2 linked regions of the Caenorhabditis elegans genome follow. The protein of the gene in region 2 purifies or fractionates together with the protein of the main gene of each other region. This does not show direct contact. Each region holds a gene or a part of one and is shown on either strand. Other genes may lie near its edges.

Region 1 (9,523 bases), 2.5 Mb from region 2:
TCAAAAACTGATTCAGATTTATGGTAACAGCATCAAGTGTGCGAAACAGCAAAACTACACGTTTTTGCTATAATTTGTTATGAAATAAAATTCAGACACACTTTGCTAGACATGACGAGCAATTGAGAAAATGTGGCATCACATGAGGTATAATTCAGGGATTCGAAGTTGGGCGTAATTATGAGTTGAGATCACCGCACGACACATGTGCTGAAAAATGTACTCGATTTTTCGAAGTTTAAGGTTTTTGTGATTACAGTCAAATATCAATACCGACGCATCAGGAAGAACAAGTAGTTTTTACTTTTTTTAGCCATATACTTTGGCTCATCATCAGACTTGGTCAGCAACCACAAAATTCTGTTCAATTGGAATATATGGTGACATAATTTAAATCTCTCAACAAGTTTCACTCAATTTTAATCTTAAATCGGATGTTTTCATTTTGAAAACAAATCTAAATTTCCAAATCTAAGGCTTATAAATTTAAAAGTTTCACATCTACTCAGGACCCATTTCTTGCCTAGGATCCTACCACGAAACCTCTTGGCCACTGTATCAAAATTATTAAAATATTGTTTTTAAATTATTTTTTTCTGTCTTTTTATTCGTCCCATGATTATACATAATATGAAAACCGAAGTTCGAAAAGTATTTTTTTCTTTACAATTGCTTCCTTTTCTATAATTCTTCTAACTCTTGGCTGTCTAGACATACATTGCAAAATTAAAGAATATTATGTATTACTGAAAAATGTTGATTTTGTTGTAGTTTTATTGAAATTCAAAAAAGACTGAACTACAGTAACTAATGGGGAAGGATAAGAAAACGGCAGAAAAAGAATGACAATAAAAATTACAACGGTGTTCCAGGATCTTCCAGCTCGTCCTCCACAAACTCTGTAATCGAGTCAGGGTTGTGCTTCAGTGCGTCCCTGTATGTCCTTTTGAAGTGAAAGATGATCTGCTCGGCCTGCATAATCTGGAAGTCCACCTTGACTTGCGCGTCTTCAAAGTTCGGATTGAAGTGCATGCCGAGACGTTGGATTGCGATTTTCAGATCCGCAAGCAGCAAGTAGGCATCTCGTGCCAGATTCTTCCGGTACTCCACGAAGCTGTCAAGGTTCCATGCCGATTCGCGGAAGAAGTGCTCGTACACTCGTCCCATTTCGTCGACGGTCAAGCGGCAGTTCTAAATATAATTAAATTTTTCATGTAAAATAGAGGTTAAGGAATTTGATCATATTGATACATTCCCGGGATCTGGCTCTAGCTTCTTGTCCAAGTTTGACCCAAAAAATATTAACTTGGATTAGAAGTTGGCTAAACTTGGGCAATAGTTGGGCATGACTTTGGCGCGCCAGAATGAATGATTTTGACAGTTACGCAACCCGTCTGATTTCCCTTAATCCCTTCCGAAATACCACTCACCATAACCTTATCAGCCAGTGGATCATCTTTTGTGTAGGCCTGGAAAATGTCTTCAAGGCCTTTGTCAAGCTCTTGAGAAGTCTCCAAAATCTTGTTGAGCGTCGCCTCATAACGATCCGCATAGATCTGAACATCCAGTTGCATTGCACGCCTTCCGGCTGGACACTGAAATTATTGAAGGTTTTTTTCAAAATTAAATTGTGAAAGATCTCACCTCAACGAGCTCACAACGAGCATCATAGAGTCGCTGAAACTCTTTCTTATCCAAATCCTCAGTCATCAACCGCGGTGCCTGTGGGAGTAGATAATAGTCGACTTGGGATCGTGCAGCCCGACGTTCGTATCTTCCTGGGGAATACCGGATAAATGCATCATGACACTGCGACTCCGGCTGAGGAATATTCGGAAACTCCTGTGACGCCATGATTCGGCGATGAACGGCAAGGCATTGTCCCATGATGGTGGGGAGGAAGTAAGAATGAATGGGGGAAATTGTCGAGATGGTCTGGGGCTGCTAATTGTTTTTTGTCTTTTTATATTTTTTGACCAATTTTTCTCAGAATTCATACATATTTTCGATAACAAGGAATACTGTAAATTAGGAAAAGGGGAAGCAATAAAAATTCGTAAAATTATAACAAAAGTGGAGTGAGACACAGAAATTTGGAAAGGGAAGTGGATTTAAATTGCTGTGGGAACAGTCTGAATTCTCCTTAAAATTTAATTTACCGGATTATGAAGAAATTTCCCAAATTCCAGTAGGCAAGCACGTTTCCTCCTACTGTATTCTTGCCTGCCTACAAGCTTGCCTACTGCCTAGGCATCTGAATTTTTGCAAACAATTAAAGGATCGGAAATAATTTTGCAAGTCTATAGGCACGTTTTGTAGGCAGGAATCAGGTGTAGGTCTCCTTACAAGGCAGATGTGAATTTTTACGAAGCAGATCGGGTCTCACTACAAAACGTGTCGGTTACTGTAGCTAGCAAGTTTTCTGAATCTTAAATTTGATCTGATAGTGAGCAGATAAAAAACGTTAGTGGGAAATGTGGTCTCACTTTGAAGATCAAGTTTCAAATTGAAATTTCGAATAAGATTGAAAAAATCTACCATAACCATTAGTTTTCATGGCGAGACCTCTCATGAATCATGATTACATTTCGAAGATTTTGGTATGCTGATTTGAAATTTGTAAATTTTGAATCAAACATTTTTTATTAACAAATAAAAACTTCAAAGTGAAAAATTCAAAACGTCCACAAATTAAATTTGACATCCAGATTCATATTCTTCTTATTAATTTTCCACTTAACAATTTTTTTTTCTTCCAAATGATCCAAAGCCCACACTAACGGCGTGAAGCAGCAGCTCTCATATCACGCAATGCTTTCGGAGCCTTATGAAGATTGGCGACTAGAGCCAAATATGGAAGACGGGGTGGTCTTGGGGCTGGTACCCGGATCTTTCTGGCTCTGGGGACTTTTGGCCCTTGTGCTTCAGAGCCTTGATGTGGTTTTTCCTTGATGCTTCTCAAAGCTTCCAACTTTTTTTGAATCTTCAGTGCTTTTCTCTCCAGTTTCTTATCTTTTTTGGCTCGTTTCTGCTCCTCTCGACTTCGTTTTAAGGTCAGTTGAAGTTCGAGTTTCTCCAATTTTTCCAGCTTTCTTTCCGGAGTGTTTTCCTTGGAGCGTACCCTTTTCTGGTGTTTCCCAACATTTCCCAGCTTGGATCTCAGTCGTTTCTTTCCACCCATGTTATTCTTCGGGGCTCTTTTCTTCCCAACTTTCACGTCATCTTTTTCTGAAATTTGCGAATCTCATTCGAGTATGTAATATAATCTGCCAAACGTAAACTAGACTTATCACATAGATTTATTACGATAATTTGCTCGTCAAATCTGTTGTTTATAAAGTTTTCGCGTCAAATTTGCGTATTTGCTATACCGTTCAGTGAACTAAAATTTTCCGAACACTACAATCGACGCTCAACACTAAAAGTCAAATGTAATTCCTTACTAACCTTGCGTACTCATAGCATCTCCCAAATCCTCCTCCGGCTCCACCTGTGGCTCCTCCACCTTATTTCTCTTAAGCTTTCCCACTGTAAATTTGAGCATTTTCAAATTTTTCTCGACTTTAAAAACTTACACAACTTCTTGCCCATTGGCATTTTCAGTTCAAAGCAATTGATTTTAGCAGTACAAGTAACCACTGAAATTGCAGGCACTGAGGAGGGTTTTTGTATCAATTTCTTATCAAAGAGTTTTTATCATCAATAATGTTTATAAGTGTGGAATTCTGAAATAGTGATGTTGACTATGAGTAAGGTAGTATTAAAATTGAAAATGTCATGTGAAATGGGAATGTTGACAGGAAAGATTATTGGAAAGTATGGGGAAATCGTGAGACCCAGAGGGAAAAGATGGGTGACGGGATTGCGAAATCAAAGTGTTGAAATTTTTAACTACAAAATTCACTAGAAATATGCTTAACAAATATTACACCCAAAGCATTTCAGCATTTCGAAAATTTTAACTTAGGCAATGTTTTAAATTTTTTAATATTCGAAATTTTCATTAACATTTGATTTTTTCAGACTACTGCCAGGTACAGCAACCCTCGGTTTTTACTGTGTGACCAATTTTTATCGATGACATAAAGTTATGGTATATTTATATTCAAATTTAAGTTTTTAAGTTTTCTGATTTTTAATCTTATGAATTACTATACAATTCAAGATTTAAAACATCTAACAGCTCATCGTCGTCGTTCAACATCTCCCCAACTCAAATTCAAATCTAGAAAAAGTGCTTTTGTTCCTTACAAAAACCGCCAAAAGGAATGAGTAACAGATTGTCATATCACTATCCCATCACATTGCCGCCGGAAATTGGCAAATAGAAAAGGACGACGGGTATTTGAATTCAAACTGGAAAACATTTTTGTAGTTGGAAGAGTCGAATAGTTTTGGCAAAGTTAATGCAAATCTACCTAAAAACCTAAAAGAGATGTTATAATAATTGTGTATTTGTAAAAATCATGGAAGCCGACACTTTACTGATCATATTTAACTTTAAAAAAATCCTTTTTCTCACATTTTGTTGCCTGAAAACTTGAAATATTTTAGGAGTGAAGAAATTTGGAAAAAATCAATTACCGGTAATTACCCCCTATGTTCCAAAAACATTTAAAATCCTCTTTCCCCCATTCCTAATCCATCTATTCATCATCATCTCATCAATTGTTTATGCACCTGTTCAGGAAGTGCACATAACATCTAATTGTCCAAAAAGAGTACACAAACCGGTAGAAAAATCGCAGTTGAAGAGCCAGTAATCTGTCAGTAATCTGATTGGAATTCGAGTGAACAAATAAAAACAGGTGTATTGGAAATGTTCAAGTAATTTTAAATATCACAGAAACGTAATTAGACAACATTTTCTGCTGATTGATGGGTTGATATTTTAAACCTACACAATCAAAATTCGTATTTTTATTTTCAAACGAGTAAATTCAAATGCTCATGCTGTGAAAGTCGTCTGAGAGCTTGCTGTAGCAAATCACAGAACATCCTTTGGCAATATCTTCATCTTTCCGTTCAGGTGGCGCCAAGTCATTCATCAAAGATTTCAGTTCGGCTTTTTGAATCGAAAACTGAAACACACGGATTGTTAAGTCTAAGGATATTCAACTAACGTTTGCTCCAGCTCTCTCAATACATCCCAAAATATCCAAACGTTGGAACAATGTGTACTGCCATGGATGCTCACGGAGCAGTTCAGTTGCAGTTGTCGCCGCCTTTTCATTCAAACGAACATCATCAAAATCGAGAAGAGCTGGAAAATGCTGTACTATTCCTAAGGAGACGAGAAGATACGTTTGATGCTCATCTGCAGTTGCCAATAGATTTCCAATAATCCACAGACATTCCTGAAATAACCATAGATAATTTCTAAGCTCGAAAATAAATTTTGTTTCAAAAGATGTGTTCAAAGCTAACTACAGTATTGTCTCTATTGTACTTGCACCCTCATTAATTCACTTTGACGGCTCATATCTTGACTGTCTCAAGTGTTATCAAACAATTTCACTATCAAAACGTAGAAAAACATTTTGCACGTATTTCTTCAGTTGACAATTTTTTGATAAAACGGAAGTGAATCGAGATATATGCCCTGTCAATGTAAAACAATGGTGGTGCATGTCTAATAAATAAAATACTGTTCATATAATTTTATATCAGCTTACCTTTCTCAAGCGTTTGTCTCCAGTATGAATCCCAGCCATCACCCATTCATAGAAAGCATCTGGATCATCCATTACTGAAAACATAGATCCTATTCAGTAATCAAATAAATATAAAACTAACTGTAATCCACGTGTCTTGGAGCACCGGCAACAACGTTTGATATGATCCATGCGGCTTCACTGTGATGCTCCGGAGATGACATTGCAATATTCTGAAAAAATATTTTTAATTTTCAATTTTGATGTCAAAAACGTACCATAACAACTCTAAACTTGGGATTATCAACCAACAGATCAGTCTGAACATCATTCCCGACTGCAATATTTCCAATAAGGCGGAGGCATGAAACATTGCATGACTTGTCCGTTTGATCAATAAATTTTTCGAGAATATGCTCAACAACGTAGTTTTGGGAAAGAAGCATGTCGATCTGAAAGTTTTAGTAAAGAACTTTGATTAACAATAATCCGAAAACAAACCCGTGTGGTATCTAGTGAGTTGTCAACCAAATTGGCAAGAGTCCATAAAATCATTGAACCACATCCCATATTATCGACAGCGTCTGTGTCGAGTAAAATTGCAGACAAAGCACAAATAAGTGAACGAGCTACTGGTGATGGCATCGTTGTTCGGCCACCGGAAAAAATATTATTGACACACCAAATGAGTTGGCGTCGGTCTGCATCGTCGAGTTTATACGACGTTTGTAAGTTTCTGGCGAGTATCTGAAGTTGGAATTTATTTAGACATGGTAGACAGGCATGCTTTCAAAGGCCAGACGCTTGCCTGAAGCGCCTGCCTAAAGCGCCTAAATGCAGCCGTAACAGTTGTTTTCATTTGTGCTGTGGATGGATTCTAAAATGTCCTACAAACCCTTATAATTACCTTCAAAAGTTTAGGTGATCTACATTTCAATTTGCACGAAGAACAATCAGCTGCAATATTTGCAATTGCCCAAACAGTTTGACTTGAGAGACGAGCGTTTTGAGACCGAACGAGTTTGATCAAGATATCTAGACAATTCTGAAAAAAAAACAATTTTCCTAAAAATCAATTTTCAGACTGACCGAGTTTACAAACAAGTGAGTAACTTCCTGGCTAATACAACACATATTAGTGATAATCCAAACAGCGTTAACCTCACTGTCAATGTCTAACGTTTGATTACGAAGAGCATTGAGAACGCCATTCTTCTAAAAAAAAGAGTTTGAATTAATTGAAACAATTTCGTCGGAACTAACAATTCTTCCATAAAACTGCTCCTTCAGAGCGATGTTCGATAAATCTGACTGATTGGCAAAAGCTTTACGAAAAAAGTGTAGAGCTGTGGACAGTTGAATACGGCATGAGGATTCGAGCATTGAGATGATAAAGGAAATGTCAAATGTTGCTGATTGTTCAGGTTGGGAATTCTGTATAAAAATTGAAGTATAGATAGAAAGTTGCCGTCCGAGTGAGGCTAACAAGTCGGACGTTATGCTTTTTTTTGGCTTTCCTTTCTGCGTATCAGATTTTTTTGAATTTCATTATAGCGAGCCAACACTGTGTATTTTGAGATGGAAGTGCAATTGTGCTCCAATGTCAAATGAAAACGGTCCCATCCATAATAAGAAATCGAGATCACAGTTTAACATACATAACGACCACCAAATTATGGTTTTCAATTTGCGTTGGAGCGCGAGTGCAACTCAACTACAAAAAATTCAGGTTTTGCCCCGCCAAAAAAATCATTCTTGGTAAACCATTGCAGCATAAAAAAAGAGAAACATCCGATTTGCCAGCCGTCTGATTCTGATATACTCTTACCATTTCCTGCTTCGCTTTCTTTGTAGATTTAACCATATTCTCCGCGAGTGTAAAACAGAAATAAAGTTATATTGATTTCATTGGAAGTTCCACGTGTTTGTTTGCACGTATGAGAAAATCCGAATGGAATATCGCGTGGAAGAATTGCAGTGATTTTGAGTGAATTTTTTAAAATTTAATTATCTAATACACTTCTTATTAAAATATATTTGAACTTTCTTATAGTTAGTGTAAGCAGAAATCCCTGCAAAGAGAATTTGTGAATTTTCAATTTTCCCACTTTACACAACATGTTCCAAATCTAATGCCCGTTCATAACCTAGGTCACTAGGTTTTAGCACTTAGCAGACAACAAGTGTGAATCTTCCCTATTCTTAGTTTAAATTTCTCTTCTTCTCTTCCCACGATTCTCCGGGATCAAGTGTGACTTTCCCTCGATCTACCAACAAGTATCTAGAACGATGCCAACTTAATACATAAATAACATACGCCAAATTGTGTGTTCCTCTCGGTTCCATCTATAGATACCTATCTCCTGTGAAGCTGTCAATTAATCGAGGAAAATTTGGCAAGATAGAACGTGGAGCGATGAAACGCAGACAGTAGAATTTGTGAATTTTTAGAGGTCGAATGTGTGTTCACACAAGTTCTTGAAAAAAGATTTTATCTTGAGCAAGGGGAAATTAGAATGTCACACATGCGAGATTTAAACATTTTTGAATTAAAATCGATCCTGTGAAACATGGGCTGCAATGAAATGGAGCCCGAATTTGAGTCCTTCCACCGAAAATGGAAAGTCTTCTTTTCGCATACATTTGTTAACGAACGACATATTTATAAGCATTAATCTGAGTCAAATATCAGTTATCCATGTGACGTCTCTTATGTAATGCCGCTCGCCAAACTTTAGCGATACAGCTGAAAAGAAGAACCATGGTTGTAGTTCTAATTTAACAGCAATTTAAGCATCTAGTCTTCTTATTTCATTACTTATTAATTACTATATAATTCCTCATAAATCTTCATAATATTTCTAGCACACCCGTGTTCCCATCTTGTCCAACTTCTCCCCAACTCAAATTTAAATCTAGAATAAAGTGCAATTGTTCTCTACAAAAACCGCCAAAGGGAATGAGTAACAGATTGTCATATCACTATCCCATCAAATTGCCGCCGGAAATTGGAAAATAGAAATGGACGACGGATAGGGTATTTGAATTTGAATTTGAACAAAATACGGGGTTCAAAAATGTCAAACGTCAGATACAGAATCTGTTGCGTAATTCCAACAATGAAAATGATGAAAATTTTCACCTGGGAGAATGTTGCAAGCACTTATTACTGAATTCTGATTATGACTTTTAGACCGTGATTCAAAGTCAAACTTTGAAACTGGTTAAATTTTGTATTTTTTGTAAAAAACAGTTCGTGATTTATTGTGTTATTTAGTTTCAAAATTTTAAATACTAATTTTGAACCATGTTGAATTTATTCCCCCTTTTTTCTTATTTTTTTCTAACAAAAAACATGTATACAAATTTCCTTCCAATCTATAATAACCTCTTTTCACCTTTACAACATGTACACTTCCTGTCAATGGTCTAAAATTGATCCCACGTGGTGATGGGTGTGATGTACCAACGATGGATTGACGGAAGTCTGGTGATATCGAATAAGGCAGGTGTGCACTTGAACCACTAAATTTATTTTTTTGGTATTTCTAAATTTAATTCTCAAGATCTATAGGTTTATACAAATCTATCTATGGTTTTTACAGAGCGGAACACGCTAATATGGTTGGTACCGTTGTAGATATTTTCAGGTAGACCGAGGGAAATTCACACTTGATCCCGGAGAATTGTGGGAAGAGAAATTTGAAAAGATTCACACTTGTTGTTTGTAATGTGCTAAGACTATGGTGACCTGGTTTTGAACGGAAATTGGATTTGGGACATGTTGTGTAGGGTGGGAAAATTTGTAGATTTTTTGATACGTGTGAACCCCGCAAAAATTTGATTAAAAACCCGGTGTTGCATAGTTC
Region 2 (12,350 bases):
ATAAAATTTTTCACAATTTTCAAGCTTTTCAAAGAATTTTCAACATTTGATACCGCTTTTTTAGTTAAATTTTATAAAACTTTAATTACAAAAAAGTGTTCAAGCGGACTTACGTTTTTCTGAAACATAACTTTAACTGTTTCTAGTAGGTGGTATATAAGACTACGTTTTAATGAATATTATTTTTAAATTCTTGAAACAAATATAGACACAATCTGTCATCATAAAAAAGTTTAAAAATGAATTTCTTAAATTCACAAAAAAAACCTGCTTCTGAATGATGTTCTATGGACGATGAATTAGGTCCTCGTAATCCTCTGTCTGTTTTTCCTCGAAAGTTAATTTTGTATAAAAACTTCTTGGTAGATTATCTGGAAAACTAGTTCTACTAACTGGAACTACTAGAAACTAGGAAACTAGATACGAACGTAAAAGGCCAATCAGTTTTGCAATTTTTAAACAAAAATAGAGAGAATCTTAAAATTGCATTCTAAAAGCAAAAGTTTTTTTTTTGAAAACTGATTGAAACATAATTGTTTTTAAATTTCAATATTTTCCAATTTTCTACTTGATATTCATTTTATCAGAATATGTGTTACAAGATCTTAATATTTTTAAAATTGATGACTGCAACTGCATATCTTATCACTCACCTTTTGATGATGGGAGCCGTTTTCTGTGTCTACCCAACGTATAATGCAGTTCAGTTTGGAAAATATTGATAATTGTGAAATAGTTGCTATTTTGATTCAGCTCTTTCTAGAAGGTGGTATACAACACTAACTTACTAACTTATATGACACCAAAATTCAAAATTTCGAAAATTTACTGTTTGAAATCTACAGTATATGGATTGTAATTTTTTAGTTTTACTACTTTCTTTTTTTTTTTTTTAAGTTTCAAATCATTAATTTTTTATGAAAATATGACAATTTATTTCATCCATTAATACTCGTGACATACTTAGTGACTTAGTTACTTGTGAGTGTATTGACGAATGAAATAAACTGTCATATCTTCATAAAAAAGTTAAAAGGATTTGAAACTTTCTAGAAAAAAGGGAAATTTTTTTTGAAATTTCAAATTTTTCTAGAATTGTCCAGAAATTATATGCGCTCCACTTTTCAATGAGTTTTCAATAGTTTTAGTGATAAAAATTGGCATTAGTAATCAAATTTTTTGCTTAACTCTATGGAAAATGTACAGTTAAAAAAAAACGGAACAACGTTCAACTCTTGTTTTATGTAAAAAGCTGGAAACAGTGAAAAAATTTTATATCAGAAATTTTATGATCGGGATTGATGAGTTGAAACTAATACATTTTATTAGTTTTAGAATATGTTATTTAAATTTCATTTAATACATTTTTCTAACAAAAAATTGCCGGAAGGAACAGTAAAAACTTTGTTGTAGATCACCATACTAGACGATTTCAAATTTCCTTTTAAACACTTTTCGACCAGAAATCTTTGATTATTTACTCCTTCTATTCACGGAAGTTTAGTCATCATCAGACATCCATCAACCATCATTATTTATTCTCGCCATTTCTCCCCAAATTACTCTTATTCAACACCATTTTGTGCCAATAACAAGGATGTCAGAATGGAAGACGTTTTCATGGAATTTAGGAACATGAATAATTGCAGCAAGTTATTGAAAAAAATTGTGGAGACAGAGATGTGAAGAGAATGATGAATTTCAAATGTTTAATCTTAAGAGCTAATGCAGAAACAGAACATTTTTTTTTACCAAAAAATAGCTTTAGAATAGTTACGTCAAATGATGACTAACAACACTTGATCATTTCGAAAATTAAGATAAACATTTGAAACTGTAAGATAATTTTGGTAAATTTCAATTCAGAAAACCGAAAATATTACTTTTTGAATCAATAATGCAAAATTAATTCCCAATATAGAACTCAGAACATTACTGGATTTTTTAACTTTCATTTTCAGAAACTTTTTGAAACAGTAAATTCATTTAAAAACCAATTTCCACCAGTGATATCCATTTTTTCCAATGTTGCATTGTGATTGCTTCTGTACATCACATTTTGAATGTCAATTTTATTTTTCCACGATGTCTCGAACAATAACCAGTAAAGTTTTTGAAACTTATAAGACATCATCAAAAATGTAAAAATATTTGTGTGCCAATCAATGAAGTTACCATTCCTTTCTAAATTCTCAGTATAATATTGACCAACTTCATTCTAATGTAATGTTTCATTTTATATTCTAAAAAAACTATATAAAAATTGTAAAGGAAGTCTTTATTTTTGAAAAAAAAATCATTTTTGAAATTTCAAATTTTGTGATCGTTTTAAAAACGATTGGATTTTACTTTAAATTGTTTAAAAATTGAACAAATATTTAGGTTCCAACTAACACACAACTATCTAGTAGAGTTCACGGTGGTTTGTCAATAGAGCAGGTTTGAAAACTTATTTTTTTGTAACTTAGGAAGTCAAGTTACCAATTTATCAGAAAAATGGTCTAGACTTTCCATTTGAATTGTCTATTTTATAGAAAATTTGATGGTATTCAAGAGAACTTCATAACTGGAAAAATATATTTGTTTTGATGTTTTTCTAGGAATTTCAATTCATGGAAAATCACAAAAACATACAGCAATGATCAAGACTATATAAATCAAAAATTTCCACCAAAATCTATGAAAATGAATCGTCTTCTGTACTACGGTAGTGTTGAAGCAATTCCTTTTTACAATTGTAGTTGGAAATCTGAATGGTTTGAAACTGGAGTCAAACGTCCATTTCTTGGTTATTCTATTATGATTTTTGGAGTTTTTATCGAGTTTCTGTATCCACCGATTATTTATTTAATTTTTAAAACAAAGCTGATAAGGCATTCTTGCTATAAAATTATTGTATTTCTGTCAATTATTGATATGATTGCTACTGGTATGTTTCATTGAGTTTATTTAAGGTTTTGCTCTTTAACAAAATTCAGTATGTAGATTAAGTCCTGTTTAACGCTGTCAATTAGCCAAAGCATTCAAATCAACATTCTGAAACAGTTGAAAAATTTTTAATTATATTTGTCCAGTTTTCAGTACAATAAAAAAATTTAATTAAGAGTTGTGTGACGATTCATCTTTGAACGTTTTTTTTTTCATTTTCACAGTTTTTATAATTGAAAACTATGTACCACATTTTAAGTTCAATAAACAAGGTGCGCTTCATTTTAGGTTCTAAACTGTTAAGGTTTTTTTTGTTTTGATAGCAATGAAAAATTATTATCGAAGGGTATTTTCATTATGGAAATGCCTAATGAAAACTTCAAAGAAAAATTATCAACTAATTGAAACAATTCACACATTTTTCAATTTTGTTAAAATTCAAAATAACTTTGAACTCACGTGGAGTTATAAAGTCCCATTTTGCTTTGATCTTCGAAAAATGCGGAAGGTGAGACGCAGGCACCTCATCTGATTTTGCATGGTTAAGAACGTGATGACGTCACAATTTTTCTGCCAACAAATTCCCGCATTTTTGTAGATGAAACTGTAATGGGACAGTCTAATACCACGTGTGAATTTCAGTGCCTATGTGTGTTTCAATTCCTTATGAGGGTCAAACACAATCTCTCACAATCAGAAATTAATAATAATATTTTGTTGACCTTCGAATTGCAGTTAATTATTCAAATTATTCAAATCAACATTCTGAAACAGTTGAAACAATTTTTATAAATTTTTTCCAGTTTTCAATACAACAATAAAAATGTAATTAATATTTGTTACAATTCATTTCTTTCAAAGTTTTTGTATTTTTTTTTTATAATTGAAAATTTTAAACTGTTTAGGTTTTTTTCTCATTTTTGATACCCAAAATAATTTTTTTTCCATTTGTGTTTTTGTTTTCAATTTGGTCAAAATTTAAGGAAATATTCAAAAGAACATGTAAAAACTAATTGAAACATTTCAAAAAAAAATTTCAATTATTATTTTTATCAATTTTAAGTTCAAATTTTCTGTGTATTTTAGTTACTTATGAAGGTCGATCGCGTACTCTGATTAATTAATAAATTTATAATATTTTGTTGAACAATCTCGCTTCACATTGCAGTTAATTATCCAAATTGTTCAAATCAACATTCTGAAACAGTAAAAATATTTTTCAGTGTGCAGCTGTTTCATCAGTGGAAGTCTATTTATTCAAGGAGCCGTGTTTTGTTCCTATCCGAGTTTCATTTATATAACTGGCACAATTGTATTGAGTAAGTTTTCATGGGAATTCCTATAGCCTACATAATAGTGAAATCGGCATTAGCTTATTTCTGAAGACATCATGAAACATGCCAACTTCTTATTTTTACTACTTTTTAAAACTGGATTTTTTTACGTTAGCTTTGATACAGTCCACAGTAACCCAATATTAATCGTTCACTGATTTCATTCAAAAGTTATCTATCACCTAACAATATTTTATTGTAAATCTACAATCGTCCTACTACTTCAAGCAAACAGTAATTTCTCAAAAAGACTGTAACAGTAACGGATAACCCCGCTGTAAATGCATAATTTGGTTACAGTAGTCCGACAGTAATCCTACAGTAACCCACTCTTATCTTTCAGCAACATGGTGTACATCCTGTGCATGTACCCTATTCCTCTTCATCAACCGAATTGTCAACATAACCCTTCCCCAATATTCCGACCTAATCGAAGCAAAACTTGCATATTTTTCCATAATTCTTAGTATTATTTACGGTTTCTATTATGTATTCTTTACACCAACATTATGCTTCAATTCTGGTGGAATGGCATGGTTTCCAGATCCATTTTCTGAAAAAGAGCCCAGTAAAGAAGCAGCTGAATATTATAAGAATAGATCTCAAGGATGGCATAATTGGATTTTTGTGACGGCGATGGTTTTGTTATATGTCATTTATTTTTTGAAAGTGAGAAAAATTGCAAGAGGACAGAAGTCGAAAGCCTCCACTGCGGTGAGTTGGATTTTTTTTTTGAAATATTTTTTTTATTTTCCTGTTTCACTAAAAACTAAAAAATAAAAATTGCAGATTCTTGTTCAATGCATAATAATTTGTTTCTTTAACACTACATGTGCACTGATTTACAACTCTTTTACACTTATCACACCGGATCCCTGGGTTTTACTTTTAGGTAGGTTTTGAGGGGAAGTTTTAAAATTTGAAAAATGTTTTGGAAATTGTTAGGAAAAAAGGAGAACATTTTTAAATTCTGAAAAATAAAATTCGGATTTTAAAATTCAAAAAGTTTCAAACAGTAAAAAATCTCCGTTTTCCGAAAAATAATATGAAGTTTTCTTTGCATCATCATAGGCCAAAAAACAAACGAAAAAATTGAATGAATTTATTTCAAAGTTTTGAAACAATGATTATTTCTTGTTTTTTTTTTTGAAGAACTAAATTGTGACTTGTCAAGATATCGAATTGCACCCAAACTTCGAAAACATTTAAGTTGGTTTTCTGAAACAGTACATTTTTTTCCGAAAATTCAATTTTCCAGGTCAGTACTGTTGGTGTGTAAATCACGGCTGTCCGGCTCTTATCTACATCACAATAAACGACACAATTCGGAAAGGGTTCCGGAAATTGCTTTTTAATGGAACAGTAATTTTCATTTTATCATAAAAATTATTAGTTTAAGTTTTTTTTTAATTTCAGCGCGTCGAAGATACTACAGCAGTTTCTGTAGCAGTTACCAACACTAATAACAACATATAAACACAACTTGGCACTGTGCCAAAGTTCATTATGTTTCTATTCAAAACGTCAAAGTCTACTTATTTTTTTATTCTTATTTTGCTTGTTCATTTTGAAATAAAAAACAAATTTTGAATCATTTCTCAATATTTTTAAATTAATTTTCTTGAATGTCGAAATCAAATAAAGATCCGAAGCAGAAAAATGTGGAGTCAGGTGTCAAGTTGTTTGAGGAAAAGTCCAGAAAATGTAAGTTTTTTTGCTTTTACAGAGAGGAAGTTTGAGTTTTGATTGCAGTTTCAGAATTTGTCAGAAAAAAGTTTTTAACAAAAGATTACTGTTTCAAACTTTTCGTATTCATTTCTTTTTTGATGAGATCATAATTACAGCCGTTCCAGCGAATAGAAGTCCTACTCGTCAAAAATCGATAAACAAATCTCTGTTATCACTTGATAAAACGCAAGAATTCTCTGAAACCTCTCAAAAATTGAAAATCGACGGAGAAAATAGAAGTGAAAATCATCGAAACGCAGTGATTCTGTCTGGATATTCATCGAGAAGAGTACAGTACAAAAGTGAGTGGGCGGGAATTTCAATTTAAATTATTTGGTTTTTCTGAATCCATTTTAATATATTTTCAAGAACAATTTTTTGTGATTCCAAGGTATTTTGATTCAGAATATTTTTCGAAAATGCAAAAAAAAATCGACAGTTTCGAAAAGTCAAAAGTCATTTATCAAGTCTATTACCAGCAATTTTCAATTCAGCAGTTTTTCTTCATTGGCTAGCTTCTTTGTACTTAGATTAAAGCTTCGGGCACGTCGTCGGTTTCACAATATTTTCAAATTTTGATTATTTTAACTGATTTTTAATAGTGAAATTGGCCTATAATTGCGCTGTCCAAAAAAGATAAAATGTGATTCATTTTTCCAGAAAACGAGCTTGAAGAAGGAGCTGTGAATGTCGATGCAGACGTAGTGAAGAATGATAGAACACTGAGAGATGAGGATTGGTTTTTGGAGAAAATTGAAAAATGCAGGTATGAAGAATTGAATTCTAAAATTTACACTACTTTGTTTCTCTGTAATTATTCTGCCAATATTGATAACTCAAAAAATATACAGTCTTTATCATCAGAAAAAGATAATTCTGAAAATACGTCAACTTTGAAACCGAAAATTTTTATTTAAAATTTCCATAATTCTTCCAATTTTCAGAGCCAAAAAACTGCAGCGAATCTGTGTATGTCCATTGCCACGTTGCTACCGTATCACTGACGCATTTGACAGATTTAAAGGTACATGGCATCGTGTTAAACATGTCGTGTTTGTCGCCTGCTGTCCACCGTGCTGCTGTATTATTCAGAGAGTGAGTTTGAATTTTTGGGTAGCGCCCGACCGTTGGCGGGTTCTGTGAATGGATATGTTCATAGGAAAAACCCGGCAGATGTCGGGCTACAAAAATGTTTAATTTCGCATTAAGTTAGCAAATCACAATTAGATTTTTTGAATGTCATCTATAGATCGAACAGATAATTTTTCAGTAGTTAACTTATATTTTTCTTGAAACAGAAAACTTTTCAAATTAAAAAAAAACCGTAAAACTGTCTGAATATTTCTAGTTTTCTAGACCCAGGCAAATTATTTTTTAATTTTATCACAAAATTTTGAGAAAGTTTTATTTTTTCACAATAAAATGCACATGTGAACAGCAGAACAATTTTCATTTTGTTTATGAAACGACTTTCTAAGATTTTAGTTTTTATTTTATTTATTAGATTTTTAAAGTTCTTAGAAATTTTAAAATTCTCAAATAAATTTAAATTACAGTCCGCATTCTGGCCACCCCGTCGTGAATATTATTTCTTCAAACCTCCACCAGATGACGTCATAATTGAGGTGAACGATGAAGCCGAGGCAATTCTTATGCAAAACCGAAAAAAGAAATTGAAAAAGTTGAAAAAAGCAAAGAAATGTGTAATTGGAGAATATTATCAATTTGGATTGAGTCATCCGTGTGCTGATGACGTCAAATATGTTCGAGGTTTTGTGTTGAAGACGAAGAATAAAAATGTGAGTGGGGGAGGGGGTGTACAGTGGAGTATTGACTAATACCTAATTATTTTATAGATATATATGGAAAATGTGAAACTGTAATTTTTGAAACATAATCTATGTTGATTTAAAAGTGGTTTCACATTAAATTTATTGTCGGTTTCACAAAGTTTGTGTATTTGGGAAAAAAAAGCTATGACATTACATGAGGGAGATCTTTTTTGAAAACATTGGAATTTTTTGAGCGTACTTTTTTCATAAAGTATCAATTTTTAATAGTCGGTATCTGGTGACTGACCAGTTTCCAAATTTTTCTTGTTTTTAGGCGGCCTAAAAAAAATCTCAAATTAATTGTCGTAATTACTTTTATAAAAAGAGAAAAAATTCACTAAAATAATTGTTTTTAACTTTTTGACTGTTTCAACTAGTTTTCAAATTTTGCATTAATCTATATTTTTAGTGGCAAATCGATAAATATTGCAGAAAATAGGATGTGTGTATGTAGGATGTCCAGATGGTTTTGCACCTCGTTTCACTCTTCTATATTCTCATCCAAATGGCTCAGATCTATCGGATCATTTAATTGGAATTCCATCACTGATTGACATTGCAAGATTCTATCGATGTGAAGTTTATAGTTATGATTACACTGGTTACGGTATTAGTGGAGGTATTGCAAGTGAATCCAATCTGTATTCTGATATTCAAGCTATTTACGAGGTAACTTTTTATATATTGAAAAAAAAATCATTTTTGAGCCAAAATTGACCAATATTTGAGAATAATAGAGTTTGTGAAAAATTACCGTTTCAGGTATTTTATAAATGTTTTGAGATTTTAAACAAACTGTTGGTTTGGTTTTCCATTGCTTTCAAATATATTCTCTTCAATTTTTCCCTGTTTCAGCACATAACCCTTGAAAAACGTGTGGATCCAAAAAAGATAGTGCTCCTCGGCTATTCCATTGGCTCAGCTGCAACCATAGAACTACTACGTCATGAACAGGACCAAAAGCCCGCCGGAGTAATACTTCAAGCTCCGCCCACATCGATATTAAGAGTAATTGGTGGAATGATGGGAAGGACGAAACATTTGGAGAAAAAGACGTGTTGTATCGATCGATTTGTGACTATTGATAAGGTTGAAACTTTTTTTAAAATTTTTTTAGAAAAAAAAGTAATTCAGATTCACGAAATTCAAATTCCAATTCTTGTTATTCATGGGAAAGCGGACAAAACGGTGCCAGTTGAACACGGAAAATTGATTTGTCAACGGGCAATTACAAAGGTAAACTTGAAATGAACAGCACCCGACATTTTCCGGGCTTCACCACACACTATGCATCAGCTGCGGCCGAGCCCGTTAGATGTCCGGTGCTCTGCAAAATTCCTGTTTTTGGGGCCAAATTTGGGTCTGCGGAAAAGTGGTCGTTTCTATCTTGTGAGCAAAATATTTAGGCATCAAAATTGAAAGCAACATGAAAAAATTCAGAAAAAAAATTTCCACTGTTTCAGTGTAGTTGTTTAATATGTAGCTTATGATATTTTCTTGTTCACTGCACCCACTTGTTCAGTTGTCAATGTAAAACAAAAAGCTTAACCGTAATCAGTATTTTGCATGTTTTCATATCCATCAAATTCTTAAATTATAATTAATTGCTCGAAATTGCAGGTGGCTCCAGAATGGGTTCCAGGAGCGGCTCACGACAATGTTGAGAACTGTAGAGAGGTTTGGAGAAGAGTTCGGAGATTTGTCAAAGTGTTCGTTTTTTTGAAGAAAATTACTGTTTCAGATAGAATTTTTGAGACGCTTGAATTATTGTTTTTTTGATCACTTAGTGACAAAATAATTCCAAAAAAATGTGATAAAAACTATTTTATTTCAGAGAACTCAACTTGAAGTGACGAATTGAACCTTTTGATCGATTTTTATGATTCACTACAAATAAATTTTCGTAAATCGAACAATATTGATCAACATGTTTTACTCACATTTTTTTCTCAAGACTAAAAAATTAATAGAAGGCACATAGCGAGATGCAGCCTTTTTTGGTGTCTGCTATATTTTGAGTTTTTTCTTAGTCGGTGTCATTTTTGATTATCTGGCAAGTTTTCCGCACAAATCAATTTATATTCCTCCATCCCAACAATCTTTTAAAACAATTTCCAGTCCTTTTGCAGTCCTTCCTTCTTTTCTTTTTTTTTCTCGCTCTCTCTCTCAATTTCTTGTGCTCTTTTCTCCACTCCCCTCCCCCTTTATTCAGCGTTTACAATCTGTAAATTTTTATTTATCACCAAAATTAATGTATTTGTTAATCGCTCACAAAGAAATATATTGAGCCTATAGGGGGAGGAGCGTCTTAAGGAGAAGGTGAAGCGGCAGAAAAAAATTAATTAAAAATGAGCGAGAAAGAGAAAGGCGGGCAAACATGACAGAAGACCAAAAGAATGTAAGTGGGTATTCAAATTTATAGAAACTTTTCGAGATTAATCAATTAATTAATGTATTTCCAGGAGGCGAAGAAAAAAAGAAAGGAGAAGAATGCAAAAATAAAGCGGAGCATGAAGAAATAAGGCTGACCAACTTGTCGACAACGTGAAACAGATCTTAATTAAATTGCATTTAATATTGGAAATTGCTTATGAATAAACCTTTGTGAATATGAAATTCCAATATTCGGATTTTTAGGGAATTTCAGATTTAGGAATTTTTGAAACGCCATGAATATGCAGAAAAATAAGCAGAAAATGACAAAAAGCTTGAACCGAAGCAACAATTGAGTGTTGAAGAGCAAAAAAAAAAACGCTTAAACCTGTTTTCTACTAAAAAATAAATGTTGCCATTTATGAATAGTGAAAAATAATGTTGTGAACTTATTTATTCTGTGAATTCACAATGACCGGTAGATTGATTATCTGGAATAAAATCAATCAGTCAAATTTTGATGAACTTGTAATTTCCATTTTTTGGAAAACCTGTTACTTTTAAGTCATTTACTTATAAAAAACCTATGAGACCTTTCGTGGTGAGACCCTTCGTGGTAAGATCCTTCGTGGTGAGACCCTTCGTGATGAGACCCTTCGTGGTGAGACCCTTCGTGGCGAGACCCTTCGTGGTGAGACCCTTCGTTGAGAGACCTTTCGTGGCGAGACCTTTCGTGGTGAGACCCTTCGTGGTTTGATCCTTCGTGGTGAGACCCTTCGTGGTGAGACCCTTCGTGGTGAGACCCTTCGTGGCGAGACCCTTCGTGGTGAGACCCTTCGTGGTGAGACCCTTCGTTGCGAGACCTTTCGTGGCGAGACCCTTCGTGGTGAGACCCTTCGTGGTGAGACCCTTCGTGGTGAGACCCTTCGTGGTGAGACCCTTCGTGGTGAGACCCTTCGTGGTGAGACCCTTCGTGGTAAGATCCTTCGTGGTGAGACCCTTCGTGGTGAGACCCTTCGTGGTGAGACCTTTCGTGGTGAGACCCTTCGTGGCGAGACCCTTCGTGGTGAGACCCTTCGTGGTGAGACCCATCGTGGCGAGACCCATCGTGGTGAGACCCATCGTGGCGAGACCCATCGTGGTGAGACCCATCGTGACGAGACCCTTCGTGGCGAGACCCTTCGTGGTGAGACCCTTCGTGGTGAGACCCATCGTGGCGAGACCCATCGTGGTGAGACCCATCGTGGCGAGACCCATCGTGGTGAGACCCATCGTGACGAGACCCGTCGTGGTGAGACCCAAACCCAAAATTTTGGCGGGAAATTTAAATTTTCTGTGAAAAATATTTTGGCGGGAAATTTAAATTTTCTGAGAAAAATATTTTGGAGGGAAATTTAAATTTTCTGTGAAAAATATTTTGGCGGGAAATTTAAATTTTCTGTGAATAATATTTTGGCGGGAAATTTAAATTTTCTGTGAAAAATATTTTGGAGGGAAATTTAAATTTTCTGTGAAAAATATTTTGGAGGGAAATTTAAATTTTCTGTGAAAAATATTTTTGCGGGAAATTGAAATTTTCTGAAAATTCTAAAATTCTGGAATGTTCCAGAACTTTCTAGAAAAATTGGGAAAATTCTGGAATGTTCCAGAACTTTCTAGAAAAATCGGGACATTTCTGGAATGTTCCAGAACTTTCTAGAAAAATCGGGAAATTTCTGTAATGTTCCGGAACTTTCTAGAAAAATTGGGAAAAGTCTAGAATGTTCCAGAACTTTCTAGAAAAATTGGGAAATTTCTGGAATGTTCCAGAACTTTCTAGAAAAATTGGGAAAAGTCTGGAATGGTCCAGAACTTTCTAGAAAAATTGGGAAAATTCTGGAATGTTCCAGAACTTTCTAGAAAAATCGGGAAATTTCTGTAATGTTCCAGAACTTTCTAGAAAAATCGGGAAATTTCTGGAATGTTCCAGAACTTTCTTGAAAAATCGGGAAAATTTTGGAATGTTCCAGAACTTTCTAGAAAAATCGAGAAAATTCTGGAATGTTCCAAAACTTTCTAGAAAAATCTGGAAATTTCTGTAATGTTCCAGAACTTTCTAGAAAAATCGGGAAATTTCTGGAATGTTCCAGAACTTTCTAGAAAAATCGAGAAAATT

What was found.
Region 1: the proteins of Y41E3.18 (region 2) and F53B2.8 fractionate together in Caenorhabditis elegans (co-fractionation; one large-scale study listed by BioGRID). This does not show direct contact.

The regions. Positions count from the first base shown.
Region 1 is NC_003282.8:12,523,623-12,533,145, forward strand, and holds F53B2.8 (Coiled-coil domain-containing protein 86), read right to left. Parts: upstream 3,775-9,523; 5' UTR 3,598-3,774; coding exon 3,576-3,597; intron 3,529-3,575; coding exon 3,448-3,528; intron 3,229-3,447; coding exon 2,777-3,228; 3' UTR 2,609-2,776; downstream 1-2,608. Other genes in the region: Protein eak-4, read right to left, coding at 856-1,191, 1,431-1,595, 1,645-1,887; F53B2.5 (Importin subunit alpha), read right to left, coding at 4,941-5,081, 5,124-5,357, 5,676-5,749, 5,797-5,887, 5,933-6,106, 6,156-6,401, 6,562-6,699, 6,744-6,869 and 2 more.
Region 2 is NC_003282.8:15,059,254-15,071,603, reverse strand, and holds Y41E3.18 (Serine aminopeptidase S33 domain-containing protein), read left to right. Parts: upstream 1-5,850; 5' UTR 5,851-5,887; coding exon 5,888-5,966; intron 5,967-6,100; exon of another isoform or gene 6,101-6,106; coding exon 6,107-6,292; intron 6,293-6,589; exon of another isoform or gene 6,590-6,610; intron 6,611-6,650; coding exon 6,651-6,756; intron 6,757-6,826; exon of another isoform or gene 6,827-6,847; intron 6,848-6,934; coding exon 6,935-7,085; intron 7,086-7,219; exon of another isoform or gene 7,220-7,244; intron 7,245-7,546; coding exon 7,547-7,789; intron 7,790-7,799; exon of another isoform or gene 7,800-7,824; intron 7,825-7,973; exon of another isoform or gene 7,974-7,994; intron 7,995-8,231; exon of another isoform or gene 8,232-8,253; intron 8,254-8,254; coding exon 8,255-8,491; intron 8,492-8,621; exon of another isoform or gene 8,622-8,645; intron 8,646-8,677; coding exon 8,678-8,911; intron 8,912-8,956; coding exon 8,957-9,058; intron 9,059-9,323; exon of another isoform or gene 9,324-9,344; intron 9,345-9,442; coding exon 9,443-9,531; intron 9,532-9,601; exon of another isoform or gene 9,602-9,622; intron 9,623-9,656; coding exon 9,657-9,675; and 2 more. Other genes in the region: srt-48 (Serpentine Receptor, class T), read left to right, coding at 2,686-2,929, 4,152-4,247, 4,606-4,976, 5,052-5,154, 5,521-5,624, 5,679-5,738.